Drosophila melanogaster: one gene and its partners. The main gene of each other region encodes a partner of the protein of the gene in region 3 in a complex. Each region holds a gene or a part of one and is shown on either strand. Other genes may lie near its edges.

Region 1 (6,461 bases), on a different chromosome or scaffold from region 3:
GCGGCGCTTTCCAACACTTCGATGCGTGTGCACAGCTGACTTGCCGGCAAATGAAAAACATTGAATAATATTCCGAAAGCATGCTGAACTTGTCCGTGGTGCTCCGGGTGCAATCATCGCGCCATGTGGCTTCATATGCCACAGCGGCGGCGGCGGCAGTTAAGACGAAGCCACCAAAGGCAAAGTCCAAGGGCAAAAAGCAGAAGGGGGAGCCCCTAATCTCCTGCAGAAGAAGCCAGTTCGATTTAACCCAATACGAGCAGACGGATGCCAAGTTTGGGAGTCTTTCGCTGGCCTCCAAGGGCTGGCTGCACAACAAATCCAAGGGAGACTTCTTCATCCTGAACGCCAGCGTGCGAGGTGAGGAACTCCAGCAGGAAATGCAGACCGTCGATGAGTTCCTCGAGAGCACGGGGATGCAGATTCATCCGCAACTCCTTGAGAACTTGCGAGTCGAGCTGGGCATCAAATTACTGACGGGAATCCAAAAACAGGGAATGCCCGTTGTCCATGGAAATGAGCACTGCCTCATTGCCGCTGAAACTGGGTGTGGAAAAACAATTACATATCTCCTGCCTATCGTAGACAAACTCCTCCAGAAAGAAGTGGTCACCGAACGAAAACTCAACACCCCCCGTGTCTTGATCCTCACTCCCGGCAGAGAACTAGCCACGCAGATTGCTGGGGTCACGGAGAAGCTCACCCAGGGCACCAATCTCAAAGTGCAATCTTTACTTGGCGGCAATACCAAGCAGCTTATGATGAACCCACAGTTCGAGGAGGTGGACATACTGGTCGCCACTCTGGGTGCACTTAGCAAACTGGTGACCACTGGCATCTACCGCATGGAGCAGGTTCGTCATCTGGTTCTAGACGAAGCGGACACCCTCCTAGATGATACGTTCACAGACAAACTTTCCTACTTCCTCAGGAGATTTCCCGTAAGTCATTCTAGGCGATTACCAAAGGAATGGCTTCAATCAGCTTGTTTTTTCTTATTCGACAGTTCCACTTGGTGCAAAAGGAGGATGCTGGCACCCAGATGATCCTGGCCTCGGCCACCATGCCCACGAACACCAGAGAGATCCTTCACAAAGTCATAGACGTGGACACCATCCGTGAGGTCGTCAGTCCGCACCTGCACCGACTGATGTCTCATGTGACGCAGAAGTTCCTGCGGCTGTCGAAGGCCGATCGGCCCGCCACACTTCTGTCACTCGTGAAGCATGATCTTGCCAAACGTCGCCCTCTTATCGTGTTCAGCAACAAGTCCACCACCAGTGACTTCGTTTCCATCTTCCTGAACAACAGCGGAGTGAACTGCTTAAATCTGAATGGGGATATGCTGATGAAGATCCGTCTTGGCCGCTTCGAGCAGTTCCAAAACGGTCACTGCGACGTCCTTTCCACCACCGATGTGGGAAGTCGTGGCCTGGATACCACACGAGCTCGACATGTGGTCAACTTTGACTTTCCGCTCCACGTCTCCGATTATATCCATCGTTGTGGCAGGATCGGTCGGGTGGGCAACATGGACAAGGCGCTAGTCACGAACCTGATATCATCGCGCCGCGAAATCGACGTCGTCCAGCGAATTGAGCACGCAGCTCGAACAGGTGGACTTCTGCCGGATGTGAATGCCAACATCCGAAACATTATCAACAAGCGGATTGTGGCGGAGATGAAAGCTGCAGGAATGCCCGTGCCCGCTTTGGGCTCACTAAATGGACATACGCCTCAGGAAGAAGCCTTTTAGTTCTGTGTTTTTATGTATTACGAGTAAAGTTGTATCACCTTTCGGAAGACCGAAGAGGAAGTCTAAAGTAAACGAAGAGTTTTATTGAGATCCCCAGGTCCTCCTGGACCTCCAGAAGGTCTTATAATACTTTCCCAAGTCCCTTTCAGATCCTTAGGTAGTGATAGCCACTGATGGGCGACCACTTTCTCACGTTGGTCAGGGGCTTAAAGAGTTTTCGTTTGGCGATCAGGATGTCGGAGCTGGCACCGCCACCCCCACCACCGTTCGCTGCCGACGAAGGCGAGTCTTCGGAGTGGGGAACAGTCGCAACCTTCGGCTTCAGCAGCACCGGGCGGCATCCTGCAAACTTAAAGCGGATGTTGCCCGCGCAGTTGAGCTGAAGATTTGGTGACTGAAGGTCGGGGAAAGCCTCGCAGAGCGTAGGCTTCGGTTTGAGTGCCTTGCTAGGATCGTCTCCGTGGCACATGGCTGCCGCAAGAGTACTCCATTCCAACCGACGCACTCCCGGCACTGATTCTATTCTGTAAGCGGGTTGTTTGGCCTTCACATACCGTCTGGTTACCATCTTTTCGTAGGCTCCTGCAATGATTTTTAGTTACTTAACCGCTTTTCATGGAACACATGGGTGTTTCTTACGCGCATAGTGGACCAAGAAGGGCTGCAGAGCAGCACCGCATCCGTACTCCAGCCATTCATACAGGTATACGTCATCATGACCGCCAAGGAAGATGGCAGCCGGAGCCAGATCCGGCCACAGGCTATCCGGGATTTCCTCGACGCGCAGTTTGTAGATGTAGGGAATAAACTCACGAAAGGCATATTCTCCCAGGGCAATGAGACCGCGCACTGCTCTACTGATATACCTAAAGTCTTAATTAAGAAATCCAAAGATAAGGATCCAGGCTAACAAATTGTAAGGATGATTTACCTCTCTCACTGCTGACGTGGCGACCTTCGAAGAATCTCGCTAGGCGTCTCTTGATCAAAAACAGGCACTCTGCATGTAGGTAACCACTTTGAGATGCCAGCTGTCCTATAGTTTCACACAGCTCGTCCACCAGGCCATTGCCGACTGGACAGGCAAAGTAGCTGGATAGGTGTTCCGCCTCCGGCTGAGGATTCAATTCCTCCTCCTCCGATTGCAGCTTGTAGATTGTGTGTTCCATGGTGCTCTCACCCGGAAACATCTGGGGTTCTTGCTCCTGTTTCTCTACTCCCATGACCTCCGGATTTTCCTGGGTTTCCGGATTATGGCACTGGTCTGGCTCAACCTTTAGTTCTTCTTCAAACTCCATTTTGATGGAGGTGGTTTGTCCCGGATCTGGGTCGACGTGTGGAGCTTTGATAGTTTCGTAAGGTGCCATTAGCTGGCTGACCAGTACCTCGGCCAGGTTGAAGTACTCCGGCCGGCAGGCATTGTGATTAGCAGTGGCGTTGTAGTTGCATGCTCGGAGCAGTCGCCAGCATCGCTGGCTCAAATGGTCCTGCTGCTTAAAGGCTAGCAACTGGACCATCTTACTCACAATCACTCGGTAGATAGATCCCATCAGGGGTGTCTGAAAAGCATGGCAGACGGCGGCCGTCTGGGATTTGCTGTCCGCAAAAAGGGCTGCCGTCACAAGACTCTGGACACACTGTCTTAGTTGGTCCATGTGCTTATCCTCCACTGGGCAGATGCTCTGAAAGTCTGCATCATCAGGTGTGCACAGATTGACTTCCTTCTGAAACTCCGCGCTCAGCTCGAAGATCTTATCCGAGTGAAAGTAAAAACTGCCGTCATAGTCGATCCGGTCCCAGTCGCTGTCCATCGCACCCAGCATAGGCGGCACATCGGCATCTTTTAGCACTTCGTTCACCAGGTCGTATGTCACCACTCCGCCCGAGTGGCGCGAGTATATTTTGACATTCTGAGAGATCAAGAGGTTAGAGGGATTAAAGAGGTGTATTACGGTCGACTTACATTGATCAGCTCCCAGACTTTGTAGGAGGCATCTTCCGCCAAACGGGCGCACACATCCTGGGAGAGTTCCACATCGGTCTGGTCGTGCTGCTCCCAAAAGATCTTGATGCTGCGCGGATCGAAACCAGCATAGCTCTTCTGATGACCCTACAGTAAAGAGAGCTTGTACCATAAGAGGGCCCTGAGATTGGCATCCTTACCATTCGACTGGAGTTGCCAGAGGCTTCTGCGCCCGCGATGCCGCCTGCAAGTCCGTGCCCACCACTTCCTGCTACCGCAAATGAGGCGTCAAACAGATTGTAGTTACCCAGACTAGATGTTGGCGTGGTGGGCGTTGTCACCATGTTTAGGTGAGTGGGCGTGGCCGGCAGGCTGCCCACTGCAACGCCCCCGCTCACTGCGGATGCGATGGAGGATGATGCGGATGCCGACAGGGAATTCTTTCCAGTCAACTCCAATTTCGCCGACTTAGATCGCGACTTAGTGGACTTTTTGCTGACTTTGCTGTGCGATGACTTGTTCAGCTCGTCAGTATTGCTGGCGCCAGAGGTTTTCATCTTCTTGGTTTTGTATAATTCATAAATGTATATATTTTCAACAGTTGGTAAATAAACAACGAAGCTGCACCACAAAATAAACAAATCTTGCCAGATTATTAACCCAACTATCGATGGTGCCAACGACTTATCGATATATTGATGAGCACTCGACTGTTTTCAAGCCAAGCCCGATAACACCAGTACTGATAAGAATAACAACATAATTGGTATTCGAATTTAATTCCATTTATTTAAATGCTATAAACACAATGGCAGAAGCGGCAAATGTGCGCCAGAACCTTCAAAATGTGCCGTCGATCTTCGAAATTTCAGCGTCAGAGACGCTGGACAACCTGATTTACCCGGCACTGAGCAAGATATTCGACTACTTTGGACTACGCCTGGACTTTAAACTATGGGGGAGTTTGAGGATTCAGGAGGAGCTGTCGCCATTGCTGACTTGGCTGCTGCAGTACCTGTATCTGCGCAAGAGGGCCTCCTCTTTCGGTGAGAGCTTTTACGGATTGCAAAGGACGGTCACAACCACTGGGGATCTGCTGAACCGCAGGCAGCAGTTCGCCTCTGCCACACTGCTAACCTTCATGCCTTACGTGGAGCGGAAGCTAAGGACCAGGATCACCAGGCACGAGGACACCAGTCCCTGGGAGCAACGCCTTCTAAGCGCATTCCATGCTTTCCATGCCGCCAAGGCGGCGCACACATTCTTTTACCTCGTAAAGTACGCCTCAAACCACTCGCCCATCTTCAGATTGTTGGGGCTGACCCTTCGCTATCCCAGCGAACCTCCCAAAGAGGATCAGTGGACCTACGTGGTCCTAAAGATGCTGGAGGTCTTGGCCTTCTTCCTGCAGTTCGTCCAGTGGTGGTACTCCAACGACCAGCGGCGGAAAGTGGGTGGAACTCTGATAAATCCCGAAGCGATGCCGAGAAAGCAGCTGCCCAAGGAAGTGCAGCAGAGCCTTCCCCAGCGGGGAGAGTGCCCAGTCTGCCTGCTGTCCATCCAGACGCCCACTGCCTGCTCCGTTTCCGGCTACGTCTTTTGCTGGAAGTGCATCGTTAGCCACATGAAGGAGCACGGCACCTGCCCGGTCACCCACTATCCCATCAGTCTGGACGACCTGGTGCGCATCTACGAGACGTAACGTTAAGCATTCCTTTTATGTTTTTTGCTTGTTTTTGTTTAATACATTTTATAAGGAATTGGGAACTGTTTACATCTCGCTGAGGAAGAAACCCAAACGTTGGTCGTAACATATGTAGACGTGGTAGAAGTCAAAGTAGACCGTGCATAGATAGATAAAGAAGCACTCACAGGAGATGAACTCGCCCATACCGAATACGGAGTAGGCTGCAGAGGATCCGGGGATTAGAATTGTAGACATCCTTCCATTCGGTTAGGTTCTACTCACCCAAGGGAAAGCAAAACTTCTGGTGTATAAAGTAAAAAATCCACATGACCACCACCCAGACGTAGTAGGTGAGCACCAGACCGCTCTTCAACCGCAAGGAGAATTCCTCATGCAGCTGCCCAATCCTATCGCTCATATAGTACTTGGCGCACACAAAGGAACCTGCCATGTAAATGGCACACGATACGAATAGCGACAAGGCGATGGTTATGTGCAGCAATGAGTCGCCATCCTCTTGGGGGAAGGTGCCCCATAGCAGTACGCTGGAACTACTGACAGCCATAATGATGGCCATCAGGCAGCCGAAACCTCGGACCGGCCTGCGCAGATTCCTCCGATAGAATCGGAACTGCAGCCATGCACTGGCAATGAGAAATGGGAACTCCAGGTAGCAAGCCAGAGCCCACACTTTGTGCTGAGACTTGGCAGCCGCCGATGTGGAGGGAAAGATGTTGAAGGCATTACAGGTGGTATACGTGGTGGACTGGAAGTCCGTGGTGATGGCCATCACCAGGTTGTACACCATGCAGACGGGCAATTGCAGAAGCCCCAGTGCGAGAATCGGACCAACTGGGATGCGGAAATGCCGCCTCGCCTGCAAATCCTTGATGGAGCTGGGCAACAGCTTGGCTTGATCCTCCACAAAGTGCAGCATTTAAGAGCAGGTTAATCCTAGGACAAGTCGGTCAGACAATCTTACACTTTCTGTTATCCCTCCAGACAAAGTGAGGCACTCGAACAATGACACATAAAACTAAGACAGTTCAATCTCA
Region 2 (5,167 bases), about 11 Mb from region 3:
TGAAATTCTATTACCATATAGATCAGACTATAAATCAGATGCATTGTCTATAAATTAGTATTCCATTATTTGTATTGTATGTACTATATATAAATAGGATCGGTATTTATGCTTACATTTACACTTTTAAACGGTGTATATTGTTTACACACAATATAAAATATCATTAACATAAATCTTACATAAATTTCATTAAAACCAAAAGTGAGTAATCAAGTTAAATAAAAATTCTGTCTTGGCGGAATACATATGCAGGTGAACGATTTGAATCGAAATGCGCCAAAAGATTAAAGATCACAAGTCGAATAACTACTTAAATACTAATCAGTATTGTGAGCCCGGATCGGATCCTATGCCAATCTATTGCCAAACGCCCGCATAGTTGCCCACCAAAGTCGCCGGCAGTGGTCCTCCTGCAGCGAAGAGGCGCATCCTAGTGCTGTCATAGCAGTGGGTGTAGATGGCGGGCACATACTTCACCTGCTGGAAGCCATCCATCTCATCCTCCGGATACTGAAATGTACAAAACAGTTAGGTGAATTGGTGTATTTTGTGGAACTGTAACCTCTTCACTTACCACAATTCCTTTGCTGCACTTGAGTGCGACTGTGCGCGAGGCATTCACACTGCTCTCCAAATACTTTCCGGCTCGAATGTCGTAGAATAGGAGCATGCCCAGACCCGTGCCAACGGTGAGCAGGTTACCTTCGAACGAAGTCGCCCGTATACCGCAGCCACTGTATCGAGATGTGATCTTCTTAATGGTTTGAAGGGTTCGGGCGTCCAAAAGGATGGTATAGGAACGGCATCCAACGGCATAAAGGCCGTCGCTGTGGTAGGCGATGCTCACGTTGTCCTGGCAGTTTGGCAGCTTTCGTGAGAGTGTCTGCTTGAAGGTCTCCGCATTGAAGATGTGAATGTATCCGTTCAGCGAGAGGGCGGCGATCTCCTTAAACTCCTTGTTGAAGCAAAGAGATCGAATCTGTAAAAGATCTTATTGATAAAATGGTTCTTTGATTTGATTTGCATTCATAAGCTCACCCTCTGGGCAGTGCGAACTTCCTTGACACTAAGGGGGTGGATGGTTGCGAATGTGGGACACGCTTCCTCGCCGCCATCTGGAAACTCCATGTGATCCTCGTTGATGCGCCACAGAGCCATGCGCGAGTCCTTCGATCCGGACACAAGAAACTGGTCATCCAGCCAGCACATGCCCATTATAAGGTCGCGGTGCCCACCCTCGCCCACACAGACGGGATCCAGCGTAGGCAGTCGGTAAACAGCAATATCGGAGGAGTTGCGCGCACCGGTGGCTAGGAAGGATCGGCTGGGCGACAGCTCGATGGCATGCAGGCCACCCTGGACCTCAGGATGGTTTGCCCGGCTATTTGAGAGCGTTGGGATGGCGTCCACCCGGCGCATGTTCACATCGTAGACGAGCAGTTTATTGCACTTGGTCCCGAAAACCACTTGTCGACTGCTCAGCCACTTGGAGCAGAAGACCTTGTTGATGTAGCCCAGACTAATCTGCGTCTCGCGCAGCATGTCGTGGGTTAGCACATAGCGGCTGGTGTACTCCACATTGACACTGCGACGCTGCAGAGGATGGTGGGACAAAGTTCACGTTAGCAATGCAAGTGGTGCGACTTCACAACATATACCCACATCTCGGAGTCCACTCTCCCGGCTGCGCAGGTAGTCGCACAGGTTGTAGGATGTGTTCAGGACCTCCTCCTGCTGTTGGGGCGTCTCCTCGTCGCTGCCGGAATCCTCGTAAGTAACAAAGTCGTCTGGTTTGTCCGGTTTTCGTCTACGCTCCTGTCGCATCGCCCGCTGCTTGGCCCTGCGCTCCTCCAGCCGCGAGGATACGTGGCAGGACGGATAGGTGCCCACGACGCTGTCGCGGATGGTTCTCACCATCCCGTTGAACATCTTAAGGTAATTGTTTAATCCGATTTGTTGTCTTTTGCTTTACGGGTTATCATCCGCAAACAAAAATGGTGGTGCGTAGACTACAGTGGAACTACTGGTTCGGAACTGAAGTTTGCTGAACCGATTGTTTTGCATTTAATGCAGAGATACAAATTAAGGGAAATAAAAATACAAGTGTTGACATTTTTCTATTTGGCACAATACTCGGCCGCTCTGGTTACCTGAATATATATATATATATAATAATATATATATAATATACAGTATTTATATAAAGTCGGATGTCGCACAAATGCGTTACACTATCGTTCATCCCTAACGATAGGCCATCGCTTTCACAAAGGGTTTTATCTATTCTCACGAAATCAGCTGTTGCGATTGAAGTGGTGACTTTGTTTGTAAATAAAATGAACTACAACGCCAAGCGAGTAATGCGACAGAACTCGGTTTGCGTGGGTTCCAACGACATGGCAGCGTCGCCGATAATGATTGGACCTGCCCCGCCCTCGGCGCCCAGCACGCCGCAACTGCAGACCACCGAGGACATCAAGCCACTGCTTGTGCAGCGCCAAGTGATTCTGCTGCAAAGTGGAAGCATACCGACGAATCCCTCGCCACAGCAGATCAACCTAGCTGGACATAATGTAGCCGGTGGTGCCAGCGGGAGCAACGTTGCCAACGTTCTCATTCCGGATGATGCACCTGTCTCACTGCTCACAGAGATTGCGGATATCATGCGAAGCTTCGGCGACAGCGATCAGCCCAGGACGGGAAGTGTCAAGCTGGTGGAGCAGATCCTGCAGCAGCAGCTGCGCGGCATCTTCAATGAGGCTTCGCTGGTGGCCATGCGGCGGAAACAGAATCCCTGCCCGTCGCAGGCGGACTTTGAGTTCCTGATGCGCAACCATCCGGTGAAGATAGCTCGGATGCGAAAGCACCTCAAGGATATGCGCATACTCAAAAGGTTCCTTAGTATCCGCACGGGAAGGCCGCAGGACTTCATGGACGACTTGGAGCAGCAGGAGGAGGACGAGGAGCTGGCCATCGATGTGTACGAGCTACACGACGAGGACCGAATGCGAAGATTATTCCGCGCAGATCGGATATCGCAGATCCTTACGGGCCAGCAATACCTGGAGTTCAATGAGGCGCGCAAGACGTCATTCTACTGCCGCCATGGGGAGAAGATCAAGAACAAGTTCCGCCGCTTTCTGGACCTGCCCGCGGACCTTCGCATCCCAACGCCGACAATGAACATTTTGGCCTATCTGGCGCATGAGACCATTGCCGCCATTGTCGACTATTCGATCCTGACGCGCCTGAACTCGGACAACCGTGCGACCGAGCCCTACAGCCGAGTGACCTCCGCCGGAGGCAGTCCGGCTATGATGCACGTCTGTCCGGAGGTCACACAGGGTCGCGGCATGGAGGTGGTCAAGCCAATCAGTGTACCGGAGATCCACGAGGCCATGCGCCGTTTCCGGCAAATGAGCAGCCGTAAGATTGGGCGGTATCGCAACTCTTGCGACATCGATTTCCGGCGCAGTTTTCTAGCCATTTAAGTTTTAATGATCTTAATATCCTCGCCTATTTTTATTTGCGTCAATTATTGATTTTATTCACAAAAAATAGACTGTACAATTAATTCATTTAAAGTAATTCAATCCCCAACAATTAACGCGCTCTACATTTTAATTATACAAATTATAAAATAAAGCAATTTTGGCTCGTTAAAAAAGTTTTTTCCTGAGAGGTCAAGAACAACTAGGCATATTCATTAATTCAATTTGCCTGTGGCACATATCCTGGCCTTTGAGGCTGCGACTAAAAGACAGAAAAACGCACTCCAATTACGGACGGGTGAATCTGCCTCGCATGGAGCCGATAAATTGAAGCGGTAAACGAAGTTGAAACTGGCACCGACAGATAAATAAAAGCGCAATAAAGAAATTTGCCGACAGGCGCACTCGCACGTGTGCCACACAGACGGAGCGAAGGAGAAGGACCAGCAAGGATGCCGCAGGATTGCAGGAGAGACTGCAGCATAAGGCATTAAGAGAAGCAACTCGCGAACGCACTTAATAATCAACTTCCTGTTGTGCATATAAATGTGTGTGACACGCATAGCAACGAAGGGTAAAGGGGTTAAAATTCATTCCGCAGTTATGGGTGGCGGGTTTCATTCTGTCTTTTGCCGTGAATTGAAAAGGATTAAGAATTATTGCTCAATGTCACTTGAACTTTTAATATATGTACATATGTGCAATTGTGGTCATGATTGTATAGCAAAGGCAAAATCCAAATCTTTTCCAAAAACCTTTTTAAAATAACTTTTAAAAACCATTTATTTGAAATTTTTCTTATTCCTATCACCCGCTTGTTTATCTGATAACATGCGGTCCGAAATTTGACTTAAAATCGATGCACCTTTAAAGGTATCCTCTTGTTATTTTCTTCGGTGGGATATCCTAGTTTAATCGGATCTTAATGTTGATTGCTCTGTGCTGCAGATGTAATTCCAACGGCCCATTATTCTTAATCGATTGCTCATACGCCTAACGAGCGCCGGAACGCAGTCGATAGCTCCTCGATGGCCAGTTAATGAAAACAAGCTGGCTGTGACGAAATTAAGCCAACAACTTGTTTCCATTCCAGCATCGTCCTTGTGATTTTTTTCCTTGACCCCGCGCACTGCTCCCCACACTTCTCCACACTCACTGTTAATGTTTCCAAATTTGCATTTCATGCGGCTCTTCGCTTCGTCCCCAACAGGACCATCATCATCAGGTCCGTGGAGCTCGTCGTCGCGTCGTCATTTCTTCGTATTGTCAAGTCACGTAGCCAATTTCCAGGCCGCGTAAAGTCAATATGCCCCAATCCCTTGTAGCCGAGTTGCCTTAAACTTCTCTTAAAGGGAAGGCCCTCATATTATACGTATGTATGTAAATATGCCTCTATACCTTAATTTCTTGAATAATTTAGAATACAGAATTAATTATCCTTCGAAAGATACTGTTTTGAAAGATACTGTTTTCTAAACTTTTCTAACAATGATAGTTAAATAGAATTACACTATGTAAACAGAAAATCATAGCATGAATATTGAAAATTTTTATTCAAAATTGACTTATGTTTAAGAACATGTTTGCTGAGCGGCTAATTAAGTAAAGCTTTTAATTTCTCTAACTTGCCACAAAGAGTGTGCAGTTGAGAAACATCAATTGCATGTCTGGCT
Region 3 (6,597 bases):
CAATGACTGCTAAACCGACAAAACAAATCGTTCTCGTGAACGACAAATAATACGAATAACTCTGGTAAATGAACCCTCGCCAGAGGGCTGACAATATATGTACATTAAGTTAAACATTCTGCTGGCTAAGAAGGGAATTAACAATACACAAACTGACATATACATGTATGGGAATCTAAAAACACACAATAAAAGAAATAACAGATAATAAAGGACACACAGACCAAAAACTCATGTTTTTTACAATTATTCAGCGTGTATTTTGTGCTACTTTAAAGGACATACTGGCTAAACACACTTTCGAGTGCCGTACAAAAAACTCAACGTACAAAAACGATTACCGACTAGCTTAAAATTCTGTTCAACAAATACGAGTACACGGATTGCAAATACAACGGCGGACCGACTACTTGTTCAGTCTTCTCTTGGCAAAGATCTGGTAGATGCCCAGGCCAGCGGATAAGGTGCCAATAGCACCCACCTGCAGGGTGGACAGCTTGCCGCCCCACAAATATCCTTTCGGCAGCGTGCTGACGGCGTGCACAAAGTCGAGTGAGATCCGAACGATGGACACCATCTCCAGGCGGTGCTTGGTCAACGTTTTCACATCCAATCTATGGATTTGGAAGGTTTGTTAGCTTTTATTGGATGTTTTCGGCTGACGACCACTTACTCGTTTATATTATTCGTTCGGTTCAGCTTTTCCTGATTCAGTGAAAAATTCCGCATTGTCCTAGAAGATGCAATTTAATTTGAAAATTCAAAGCTGACGATTCGAATAATTCTTCTGTACCTCATGAGGTTCAGGTACACCGAAAGCACCCAGAATATGGAGTTGACATTGTCCCAGTTATCCGCATTCTTGACATCCACAATCTTGTGCTCGGCCAGCCAGCACACCTTCTCGATGGGATAGTAGAGCAAATCCACAATGTTGGCCGTCACTCCCAGCACTTGCATGACGCGATCGGGCTCATTCTCGCCCAAGCCATACTCCAAAGCATATTGGATCATGGGTATGTCGTCGATGAGACGCAGTGTGGCTCTCGCACCTGAGATCCTTGAGCTGGCGGTGGCGTATCGCTTGGCTAGTTCCGGATTCCGCTTGGCATGGTAGCCAGCCACCAGTTTGGCACTGTAGCACAATGCCTTCATCACCTGAAATAGGTATTTAATTTCATATATGTAATAATTGTTCTGCGCAATTCGTTAAGCCGTGTGTTTGCTCTATCACGAGAGTTGGCATCGCTGTTTACCTTTGCCTCTACCTGACCCCAATCGCCAGTCAGCCCTGCAATTTGTGGAATTGCTTGGTTGTCACAAACAGATAAAATACTATCAGCGATAAAAAGAATACAACGAATGCCACAATCATCTCGTGTGATGGCCGCCAGTGGAGTGCTCCTGGTCGTCCGTCCTGGCCGGAATGAGTTGTGGGTGGTTTCATTGTTTACCCATTAATGGTTCAGTTTGCTTGCTTTGCCATCAATGAATTAGTTATGCAATTCGGAGGAATACTAATGTCGCTATACGACTAATTTATGTAAATATCCTATAGTATTTCCAAAGTTCGTGACCACCCCATTCGCTGTTTACAGCCACATAATATATTATATTATATTTTCAAATGGTTATCAAGTATAACAAATTATTTGTTCTAATTAATAAATCTAAAATACTTTGAACAATATTTTATCGTATTCAAGGTTCGATTTTTCTATTAAAATAGAGATACACTATACAAGATTCCCTCTTTGTCTGCACTGTATACACCCCTTGTAGGGGTATATAAACTCGCGATGGTGGAAATGTGTGGATCGCGTGTCTCCTGATGGGCGGCAGTCCAAACAAACCTTTCGTTCATAACGAATTATCCGCTTTATCTGGTAGCGGCTTAAAGGTTTGCCGGCTATAGTATTGAGCATTATCTTGACTCGATCGCCGCCGAACTGCGACTGATAAGCGAAAAGCGAAATACAAAATCCATTGCGAATCAGAAAGAAGTAAGGCAAGGTCCAAACTGCTGTGGCTTCCTTGTTCGAGACCCAAAGACCAATGCCAACATCGATGCAGCAACAACATGGAAACCTGTTGGTTCAGTTTCGATTTCAAGCGAGCCCCTCAATGGACCAGTCCAAAAAGGAAATAGAAACCAGTCAAAATGCCACGATGCATTTTTTTAAATTTGCGCATACGAATTGGGAAAAACACTCGGTTCAAACGTAAACAAACAGGTGTGTTTTCAATTAATTGGAAATTTACTCGGCTGTGCGGCTCTTCTATGTTACCTTATCTCGCCCGCCATAGGAATCGATAATATCACAGAACTCGTTCACAAACTTTGTCGTGGTGCCCATAATGGCTCGTTTTTTGAAGACCAGGTACTGTTTTATATCACGTAAAAACTCGAACTGAGATACCGCAGCGAAAATACAAGAAATTGTCAAGAGCGCTCGGGAATCCAACAACACAAACAGCTGACTTTCTTCAGTGGTGACAATAGCCAAATAAACTAGCTAAGAATAGAGAATATAATAGAGCTAAAAATAAAAAGCTAGTTAATATAAATAAAATATAATATAAATATAAGTTAAAAATGTAAAAATAAATTTAAAATTAAAATATTTCAATATCAATATTGTTATAAAAGAGAAGCCAAATAGCCATCACTGACGAAAACAATTTTGAAAGAACAGCTGTTGCAGCCGCTTAAAATCGATGAATGCACATCGATAGGACAACCCATCTCCGCTGTCAGCACTATAATCGAACGCATATCGGACGCACTGCAGGACGGGATCAGGATACGGAACAAAGCGAGGCTAACACGCAACGATGAGCCTGCCCAGCGCCAGCAACCACGCACATGCTGCATCGCCCGTCTACAGCAACAGCAATAACAACAAGTCGAGCGCGAGCAGCAAAAAGACCTCCTCCAAAAACGATTTGCTACGCTGCGCCGTGGGACTCCTGCTGAAGCAGAAAAACTACGTGGTAAGTGAATAATCTTCAAATATACAATTCCTCAGAGTGTTCAAATATTCAAACCCGTAGAGCAACGAACGATTTCGGCGGTCGGATTTTTTGCTGCTGCAAAACAAACAGCAGTTTGCTGTCAACAAAATGCTGGATACGGATTTGCACGGTGGCAATAGCTTCACCTTTTCAAATGTCCAGGTTATCACCAACAACCAGCACACTGTGGACCAGCAATTTGGTCGGTTTTCGCAGTTCGTGGAGGCCCAGGCCGAACCGCTGCGTCTGGAAATGAAGCGCTTTTATGGACCCATGCTGTGCCACTTCTATCTGGATCTGCTCAAGGCTCGCGAACCGCGTGGCGCTGTGGAGTTGTTGCGCAAATATGCTCACTTGGTGGCCCCCGTGGATATGTACGATGCACCACCACCTACCAAGATCAACGGATGCTCCACTACGGCCAATGAGTCCACTTTTAACATACGCTTCGCAAAGGAAGCCCAGGACACTGGGGACACGGAACTGGACTACTTTATGCGCCTGGTGCAAACCCTGAGTGGCTACACACGGCTGGAGGCAGCAGAGTCCGATGACACAGTGGCCCATTTTCGATCTTCGAAATACGAACTACATACTACAGCCGTAGTTGTTAATAGGATATGCGCTTATCTCCAACGACGGGGCCACGTTTTAATTATGAACCTACTCTACACCTGGTTGCATGTCCATATAGTGGAGAATGAGCAGCGCGCCTTTAGTGAGGATCACCTGCTTGGCTTGACGGATGACCTGGAAGGTGAGGATGGAGAGGACGATGTTGTTTCCAAACCAGCAGTAACCCTTAATACCCGCGGAGACATAAGACCAAGCAAATCCCTCACTGAAAAGTCGAACCGAAAACGACCCGCTGAGGAGCCAAACATTATGCTAGAAACAGACATCAAACAGGAGGTAGAAACGGATGAATCTGCAGAGCTTAGTAAATTACAACTGAATATAGACGCCTGCTTGGACACCCTTAAATCGGCCACTGAACAGATACTCAAGTCTCAGGTGGAGTTGCCGCGATTTCTCAGAATCAGTGAACGTTCTCGGGGCCTCACCTCCGCCCATCTGGATCCCAGTGAGTGCCACATGTTAGCCGGGTTCGACAATTCTGCCGTACAGCTGTGGCAGTTAAACCAGAGCTACTGCCGCGGCAAGAGCTTCTACAGACGCTATCCGCAAAAGCGGTGTCCCTGGGAGCTGAACAATTGCGCGAATCAAGAGGAGGAGACGGATGAGGACAGCAGCGATGAGGATGTCAAGTGCTCTGAGGAGGAGAGACGGGAACGCAACAGGGCGCGACATTGCAAATATGCTGATAACTCCTAGTAAGTTCATCTTCCAGGTTTAGTATTGGTTTTATTTTTCAATTTTTAATCAACTAAAGTTTTTTTTTTCTAATTAGCAACGAATACGGCGGATTTCAGCTGCGAGGTCACACAAAAGGAGTCACCGATGTGCGCTTCTCCGCCCACTACCCACTCATGTATAGTGTGTCCAAAGACGCAACCATGCGGTGCTGGCGTGCCCACAACCTGCATTGCGCCGCCATATACAGAAGTCACAACTACCCAATTTGGTGCTTGGACGAAAGTCCAGTGGGCCAATACGTGGTAACGGGTTCCAAGGATTTGAGTGCGCGCCTCTGGTCGCTAGAGAAGGAACATGCGCTCATAATTTATGCCGGGCATACACAGGATGTTGAGGTTGGTTTAACCAAAAATGTCTTTGAACTTTTAGTTATATATATTTTTTTTTTCTGACAGTGCGTTGCGTTCCATCCGAATGGCAACTACATAGCCACAGGATCGGCAGATCACTCCGTTCGCCTGTGGTGTGCAACCAGCGGAAAATTGATGCGTGTCTTTGCCGACTGCCGTCAGGCGGTGACCCAGCTGGCGTTTAGCCCAGATGGAAAGATGTTGGCTGCCGCCGGAGAGGAAACGAAGGTGCGTATATTCGACTTGGCCGCCGGAGCACAGCTGGCTGAGCTCAAGGATCACTCGGCGAGCATTAGTTCTCTTTCCTGGAGCACGCACAATAGGCACCTGGCCACAGCGTGCAGCGATGGTACCTTGCGATTGTGGGACATCAAGAAACTATCGCCCATGAGGTTAGTTATATTTGTGGAATGGAAACGGAGCAATTTGTTAATATTGGTAATGATGATTTATTTTGGTTGCTCCACAGTGACAACAGTAGTGCTGGAAGCTCATCATCAGCTACAACGAATCGTGTGCTTACTGTCAATAGTTCCTGCCAGCGCTTGGTCGATGTTTTTTACGGGACCAGCAAGACGCTCTACTGCATCGGCACTTAAAGAAGACGGTTGAAAGTTCAGCCCGAATTTAGACTTTCTAGTGACGACTTATGTTTGAAAATAATTTATTTTGTAATAAGTTGTATATTATTGTTACTATCGTGTGAAACAATTCTTTATATAAATAATTCTTTTGATTTAACAATCCTGGTAGCTTTCTTGTGGAATAAAACGAGTTGGTTACAGTGTAATGCCTTTACCTGCATCGTCTACTGGTCACAGCTAAAGAATGTCTTTCAAAACGAAGTCATGGCATAAGTAATGAGTGGCCAATTTCCACAAAAGTTGAAAAATGTGTAACTATTAAAAATAAGACGAGCATTCGAATCGAATTTCAATTGTTGAAGTGATTTTTTTTAATATATTAACATTTTACCCAATACCTAAAAATGTGCAAAACTAAATAAATCTAAAGGTAATATAGAATTTTTTGGTTGAATTTAATTAGCGATGCATTAAGAGACATTTTACTGTTCTTCAATAATTTAGGTAGTTTCATATAGGTTTAGGATTGTGTAAATACATTTATATACAGCTTGGAACCTCTATGATTTTGGACATACGCACAGCCCTTTTGAACAAAGAACATTGAACTTAATTTTTAAATAATGTTGGAGTGATCAGCCTTCTGATCGTAAGTTACATGCAATCAATGAATTGAACAACTATAATCAAATATCATAACTTATGTAAATGAGCTTGTCTACGACCCAGCGGGATGCAACAAAAGCTTTATCTTTATCCGGTTGGCTTAAATATAGTGACTTATACAGCGTAATAAAAGAGGGCAGAACATGAATAAATAATAAATAGCATGCATATGCTACGCATGCCGACAGCAGCAGTCTGATTCCACAGCGCACTGGGAAGTAGAAGGTCTAGTATCACAATGTCACTTTATTCAGACCTGAAAGTCTTTGCCAATAAAGTTGGAAGGTAATCCCACCGTGAATGCCTAATAGATCGAGGTTGCTGCTACTGCTGCTGCTTAAGTTGTCGCTGAAGAAGTTGAGTATAAGATTGTAGCTATAATGAGTAAGCGCATCTATCGTTTGAGACGTCCGCGCATAAACTGCAAGGTCTTCGCCATTAGAGGTGCCTTCTTCGATCGCGCTGGTCCAGCCCCTTTTCAATAAAAATTATAGGTAAATTTAATTCTTAACCACAATCATTACAATACTTACCCACTTGGGCCGTGTCCCTGGCAGCGGCCAGCACACGTAGTCGGGCATCGCCCACCTTGGCTGCATTTGGAG
Region 4 (4,860 bases), on a different chromosome or scaffold from region 3:
CAGATGTATAGATATGGATTATGTATGTATGGATTCTAAGGCAGGCTGTGTAGATCGTATAGCGTGTAGAGGTCTTCTGTGCGATCGTAGTTGGTTCTCATATGCTTCAGCATGGAAGGCAGGTTCTCTTTGGCCGCCTCGACATCGGAGCACACTTTCTTGAGAAGATCTCCCCTAGTGGGCATCGCGTACATAGCCAGGCGCGCTCCTTTGCGGATGAGGAATGAGTGATGCTTGCCCAGGGTGTCATCGTAGGCCTCCTTGCACACGTCCACAGTCTTTTGGTCGTCGGGTATCGCCTGGATCCGATTGAGAAACTCGTAGACAAAGTCTAGATAAGAAGAAACCAATCAATTAGCCACTGTGGCAGTTATATGCGCATAACGCTCACCAAGACCGCGATGAAGACGTAGCAGCGTTCGACTGCCAGACACGTAACCCTTCTGAGTAAGCAACTGGGCCTCCTTCTCGTAATCCAGCATGGTTCTGAAGGTATTAAAGTGTTCCTGCTCCTCCGCGTCCTTGGCTCTCAGGGCGTATAAGATATCTATTTTACTGCGCACATCGCTGCTGACAAAACTGAAGACACTGCCCATGAGCTGGAAGAACCTAATGAACACCGAAAGCCCAATAGAGCACCACTAAAAAACATAAACATCATAATCACTCAGTTTACTTCATTATTTCCTCGTAGGCTGCCAAGTATGCGTCTAATTGTACGTCATCCTCGTCCAGAAGGCTGGTTTCGAACAAATTAGACACTTTGAGGATATCAAAACAGTTTCCATTTTCCGCCGTGCCATTGGTCTGCGTCGCTAAGCTCGTTTTACTCATCTTATAAGCCTGCCTTTCCCCTTTGTTTTCCTACAAACTTTAAAGTCTATTTATTTTTTTTAGGAAATCAATGTAACCGTTCTCCAAAAAATCCGGTATTAAAATACCACCCTGAAATTACTTTCTTCTTATTCCAGACAGAAACCAGTCTATTGTGAATTGAATACAATTTTAATTGGAGCTATTATTACAATTACATTTAATTCTTAAAGTTAAGATAATACATTTTTTATGCTGATGATAGATTCCCGCTGCCACTGCCAGCCCCCTTTTTCGTTGGACGATATGCAATCACATAGCGCTGTGCGACCGGCAAGGGTTCGGCATAGCCATTCGTGTACGATGAATCCTCGAATAGCACCTCGTAATCCTCGGTGGCGGTTTGCGGCAGGCGATGGACAATGGCCTTGTAGAAACAGGTGGTCTGTGGATATAGCGCCATTACCACTGTGTCCTTGGGGAAGAGGGCGTGACCATCGGTCTCAGGATTTGCACGCATTAGAGGCAGTGGGATGACCTTTCGCTTGCTCAGCACATGGCGATCCTTTTGCTCCTCGTCAATGTCAATTACGTCGTATTTGTTTTGACGGTGAAGGAACTGCACCACTTCCGCCAGGATCCAGTTCTCCTCCTCATCAATTCCCTTAGCTAATGCGGCAACATTGTCGCCAACCTATACAGTGGCGTCCGATTAGTCAGATCATCATCCCAGCTTCTTTGTCCAATCAAAATGAATGCTTACCTTGGCCACATAGTTCCCCTCGGCGGGAATGGCTCCACATAGAGCTGGTGCTCGTTCTCCTAGTTTGCCAACGAATAACGGCAACGTTTGCGCTGAGAGCTGCACCATTTTCATAAGGGCGCCCCGTCGAATGGCCTCCTTATTTCCAGCGTTGCGAGCTGTGGAATATGCGAGATTAAATCCTGTTTATACATCCCATCACTAACCCACCTTGGATGCGCCTCTCATTGCGAATGCTTCGAATCTCGTGGATTTTCGCCAGTGCGGCTCGGATTGTGGCCTCCTCCTGCGCAGCCTCCGTTAAACTGGCCTTGAGCAGGGGCTTAACCTTCTGATTGGTGGCGTGCAGAGATCGCACCAGACTAGCAATGGAGTTTTCCGCACGACGACGCTCCTCGTCCACATTGTGAATGTTTTGTTGAATGTCCTTCAGGCGATCCTGTAAATGCCATATAAATATAGTATATATCGACATTTATTGTTAACATCTTTACCTGAATCTGTTGGGCGGCACTCTCCGCAGTCAGTGGCATGTTGTTTCGATATTATAACAATATAATAAATTTGTTTTTTGAACACTTTGTTTACCTACGCAATGAAAACAAAAACAAGCATAAGCGTAAAGTCGACAACGCGTTAGTATTAACTATGCGATAGTTTTATATTTTACCTCAGTATTTTTTTAATCTTAGCAAATTTTATTTTACAGAGTAAAACAGAGTAATTATTGTTAAGATTTTTGTACCGTATAATCTCATTATTTGACTTTAGTGGATCTTTTTCTCAAACTCGAATATTTACTTTTCAAAGTTGTTTACGTTTCTTACATTGGAGATGGAAGCAAGTGCGCCTAACAGCACGCAGATAACAGCACGATATCTTCACGTGGTTGGCGTTATTTAGTCCCTTTTCTGCGCTCTATGACAGCCTCTCTGGCTTTCCCTTCTTTTCCATCGCGTTTCCGTAAGTGTGCTCCGCGTTTTTCCAATTGGCTATTTTTATTTATAATATCTTCAATTGCAGCTAGGAATTCCAGTGTGCGAAAAACGTAGGTGCCTAATACACGAGAAATGCAACGAAAATTTCAACAGTTGTTGGCTTTTTGTTCAACTGGCGTTGGCTAAAAGTGAACTCCAAGTGTTAACCCCAAGCTAAAATTATAATGGCGAACATTTTTTCTGTTTTCATGTGCCGCCCCATCAACGAATCTTTGGATACCCGGAGTAGTTTAAGATGGCCAAGTCCAAGAACCACACAAATCACAACCAGAACAAGAAGGCCCATCGTAATGGCATCAAGCGCCCGCTGCGCAAACGCCACGAGTCCACTCTGGGTGTAAGTATTCAAAAATATGCATATTTAGTTAGCATCTAGAGTTGATTTTAACAACCTTCCCGTCTTTAGATGGATGTGAAATTTCTGATCAACCAGCGCTACGCACGCAAGGGAAACCTTTCCCGCGAGGAGTCCGTGAAGCGCTACAACGAGCGCATCGCTTCCCAGAAGGGCAAGCCAAAGCCTGTTACTCTGTAGATGATTGCCCCGCGTGTGGATAATTAAAGGACAATTCAGTTTAACAAAGAACCGTCTTTATTTGTGTTGCCGTCGTTAGTAGTAGATGCTCAGCACCTTGTGGAAGGGAATGTGCTCCAGGTCGGCATTGTGCCGACGCCGGTAGTCCCACAGATATTGGTCGATCACAATGGAGTTGACGTTGTCCAGTGAGATTTCGGGGTGCTGCTCCTTGAGTATCTTCACCACAGCATCCCTAACTTGTTCGATGATGTATATAGATGCGCCGCGTATCTCCACCTCTCGGGGATCGCCGTTCTCCAGAATAGTATCCGTCTTTAGGAACTCCATTAGCTCACTGGTGTACTCCAAACTGCCGAAGTGCACTAGCACCTGGGGAATTCGGTAGTCAGCGAACATGGTTATCTGATCGATGTCATTAAAGAACCCAAGTCCCTGACCTCTGTAGCAGGACCACACATCGCCCACTAGGATTTGCGCTCGTTTTAGGATGGAAACTCGCTTTCCAGCAAACTCAGCCTCATCGCGAAAACAGGGAAACTCCTCCACAACGAGATCCAGCAAGCGAACTGCCGATTTCTCCGCCTTCTTGATAACATTCTCAAAACTGCCGTCGTACTTGTCGATCAGAACTTTTCCCACTTCATGGAGCGATTCCAGACGCTTTTGGAGCAGCGGAATCACTGTCTCGCCATCGTCAGAGCGGAAAATGTTCTCCACGGTTTTCAGATCAATCTGGGAATAGAACTTGGGATTGATCACATCCACGCCTTCCTTGATGGCTCTCTTAATCGCAGCACACAGCGCAAAGTAGCCGGTATAGCCATCGACCTTATATTTGGTGTAGTTATCTGCGGAAGATTACCATTGAAGATAGTGGATGCTGCTATAAATATCAATTACTCACTGGGGGTCCAAAAGCAAAAGTTCAGGGTGTCCAACACAAAGACCCAGTCGGCTGCTTTGGAATAATCCTCCGGCTGATTTGGATTGGGATGTAATTCGTGCTGCGAGAAGTTTTCCACAGCAATGCGTTTTTCTATTAGGCCTTTTACGATTTCCTGGGTCAGTTTCTCAATGCCTGCAGGCAGAATACGAACATGCTTGGCATTTTCTACGATATAGGCTCCAGATTCCCGGGGACTTAGTTTGCTGCTGGACATTTTAACAATTTTATTAATGTTTTTAATTAAGATGTCGCGACTTTTGGCGCTGTAACAGGCGTTTTGGTTTATTTAGGAGATTCGGGATGGTAAGTAGTCTGGTAACGCCACCAGGGCTGCAGACACGCCAGAACAGTTTCGGCCCGGTGGCAGCGCTGAAATAACACATGAAGGAGCTGCGAATTTCGCTCGTTGCTCGCGGAATAAAATAAGCAAATAATAGTTAAATGGCAATAGTGGGTCACCAACTAGCCGCCAGTTTTTTCTAACTGATTGTGTAATGTTCTAAAAGTGAAGTGCGTACAAAAAAGAGAACGCGTACAGTGCCGTTGATTGCTTAAACAAAAAGTCATCAATTTGTTTTTGTGTGGCTTTGTTGTTTGTGAATGCCCAGGAAATATTTAATTCACACGACAGTTACTCAAGTGCCGCACGTTCTTTGTGCGATTAAGAAAAATATTTTATCGACGTTTCAGTTGGCACCCACACACTGAGCCACCCGCACTCACACAGATACGGCTACGCGGATACAGATACATATACAGATACACGTGCGCTCAGCTGTTGTCGAGAGCTGCTCAGCTGTAG

The links.
Region 1: wda (region 3) and Saf6 share a complex: the UniProt entries of both Drosophila melanogaster proteins name them as parts of the spt-Ada-Gcn5 acetyltransferase (SAGA) complex.
Region 2: wda (region 3) and Spt3 share a complex: the UniProt entries of both Drosophila melanogaster proteins name them as parts of the spt-Ada-Gcn5 acetyltransferase (SAGA) complex.
Region 4: wda (region 3) and Sgf29 share a complex: the UniProt entries of both Drosophila melanogaster proteins name them as parts of the spt-Ada-Gcn5 acetyltransferase (SAGA) complex.

The regions. Positions count from the first base shown.
Region 1 is NT_033779.5:811,556-818,016, forward strand, and holds Saf6 (SAGA factor-like TAF6), read right to left. Parts: upstream 4,396-6,461; 5' UTR 4,277-4,395; coding exon 3,920-4,276; intron 3,867-3,919; coding exon 3,720-3,866; intron 3,667-3,719; coding exon 2,688-3,666; intron 2,630-2,687; coding exon 2,396-2,629; intron 2,339-2,395; coding exon 1,902-2,338; 3' UTR 1,759-1,901; downstream 1-1,758. Other genes in the region: Dbp21E2 (DEAD box protein 21E2), read left to right, coding at 81-941, 1,007-1,756; Pex12 (peroxin 12), read left to right, coding at 4,528-5,421; CG15880 (uncharacterized protein), read right to left, coding at 5,491-5,627, 5,689-6,343. UniProt on the Drosophila melanogaster protein: Component of the transcription regulatory complex SAGA, a multiprotein complex that activates transcription by remodeling chromatin and mediating histone acetylation and deubiquitination. The SAGA complex predominantly acetylates histone H3.
Region 2 is NT_033777.3:12,014,887-12,020,053, forward strand, and holds Spt3 (Spt3), read left to right. Parts: upstream 1-2,269; 5' UTR 2,270-2,339; coding exon 2,340-3,494; 3' UTR 3,495-3,664; downstream 3,665-5,167. Other genes in the region: DCAF12 (DDB1 and CUL4 associated factor 12), read right to left, coding at 361-513, 578-982, 1,042-1,596, 1,666-1,932. UniProt on the Drosophila melanogaster protein: Component of the transcription regulatory complex SAGA, a multiprotein complex that activates transcription by remodeling chromatin and mediating histone acetylation and deubiquitination. The SAGA complex predominantly acetylates histone H3.
Region 3 is NT_033777.3:23,254,238-23,260,834, reverse strand, and holds wda (will decrease acetylation), read left to right. Parts: upstream 1-2,747; 5' UTR 2,748-2,835; coding exon 2,836-2,994; intron 2,995-3,054; coding exon 3,055-4,349; intron 4,350-4,426; coding exon 4,427-4,727; intron 4,728-4,787; coding exon 4,788-5,134; intron 5,135-5,211; coding exon 5,212-5,341; 3' UTR 5,342-5,765; downstream 5,766-6,597. Other genes in the region: Pex11c (peroxin 11c), read right to left, coding at 407-614, 674-733, 794-1,158, 1,854-1,925; EloA (elongin A), read right to left, coding at 6,387-6,466, 6,526-6,597. UniProt on the Drosophila melanogaster protein: Component of the transcription regulatory complex SAGA, a multiprotein complex that activates transcription by remodeling chromatin and mediating histone acetylation and deubiquitination. The SAGA complex predominantly acetylates histone H3.
Region 4 is NT_033778.4:21,291,251-21,296,110, forward strand, and holds Sgf29 (SAGA-associated factor 29kDa), read right to left. Parts: upstream 2,397-4,860; 5' UTR 2,247-2,396; intron 2,192-2,246; exon of another isoform or gene 2,165-2,191; 5' UTR 2,110-2,164; coding exon 2,071-2,109; intron 2,016-2,070; coding exon 1,787-2,015; intron 1,735-1,786; coding exon 1,577-1,734; intron 1,508-1,576; coding exon 1,064-1,507; 3' UTR 989-1,063; downstream 1-988. Other genes in the region: CG30392 (uncharacterized protein), read right to left, coding at 36-331, 392-609, 677-834; RpL29 (ribosomal protein L29), read left to right, coding at 2,810-2,911, 2,981-3,109; CG9752 (uncharacterized protein), read right to left, coding at 3,185-3,960, 4,017-4,272. UniProt on the Drosophila melanogaster protein: Component of both the SAGA and CHAT histone acetyltransferase complexes, which both predominantly acetylate histone H3.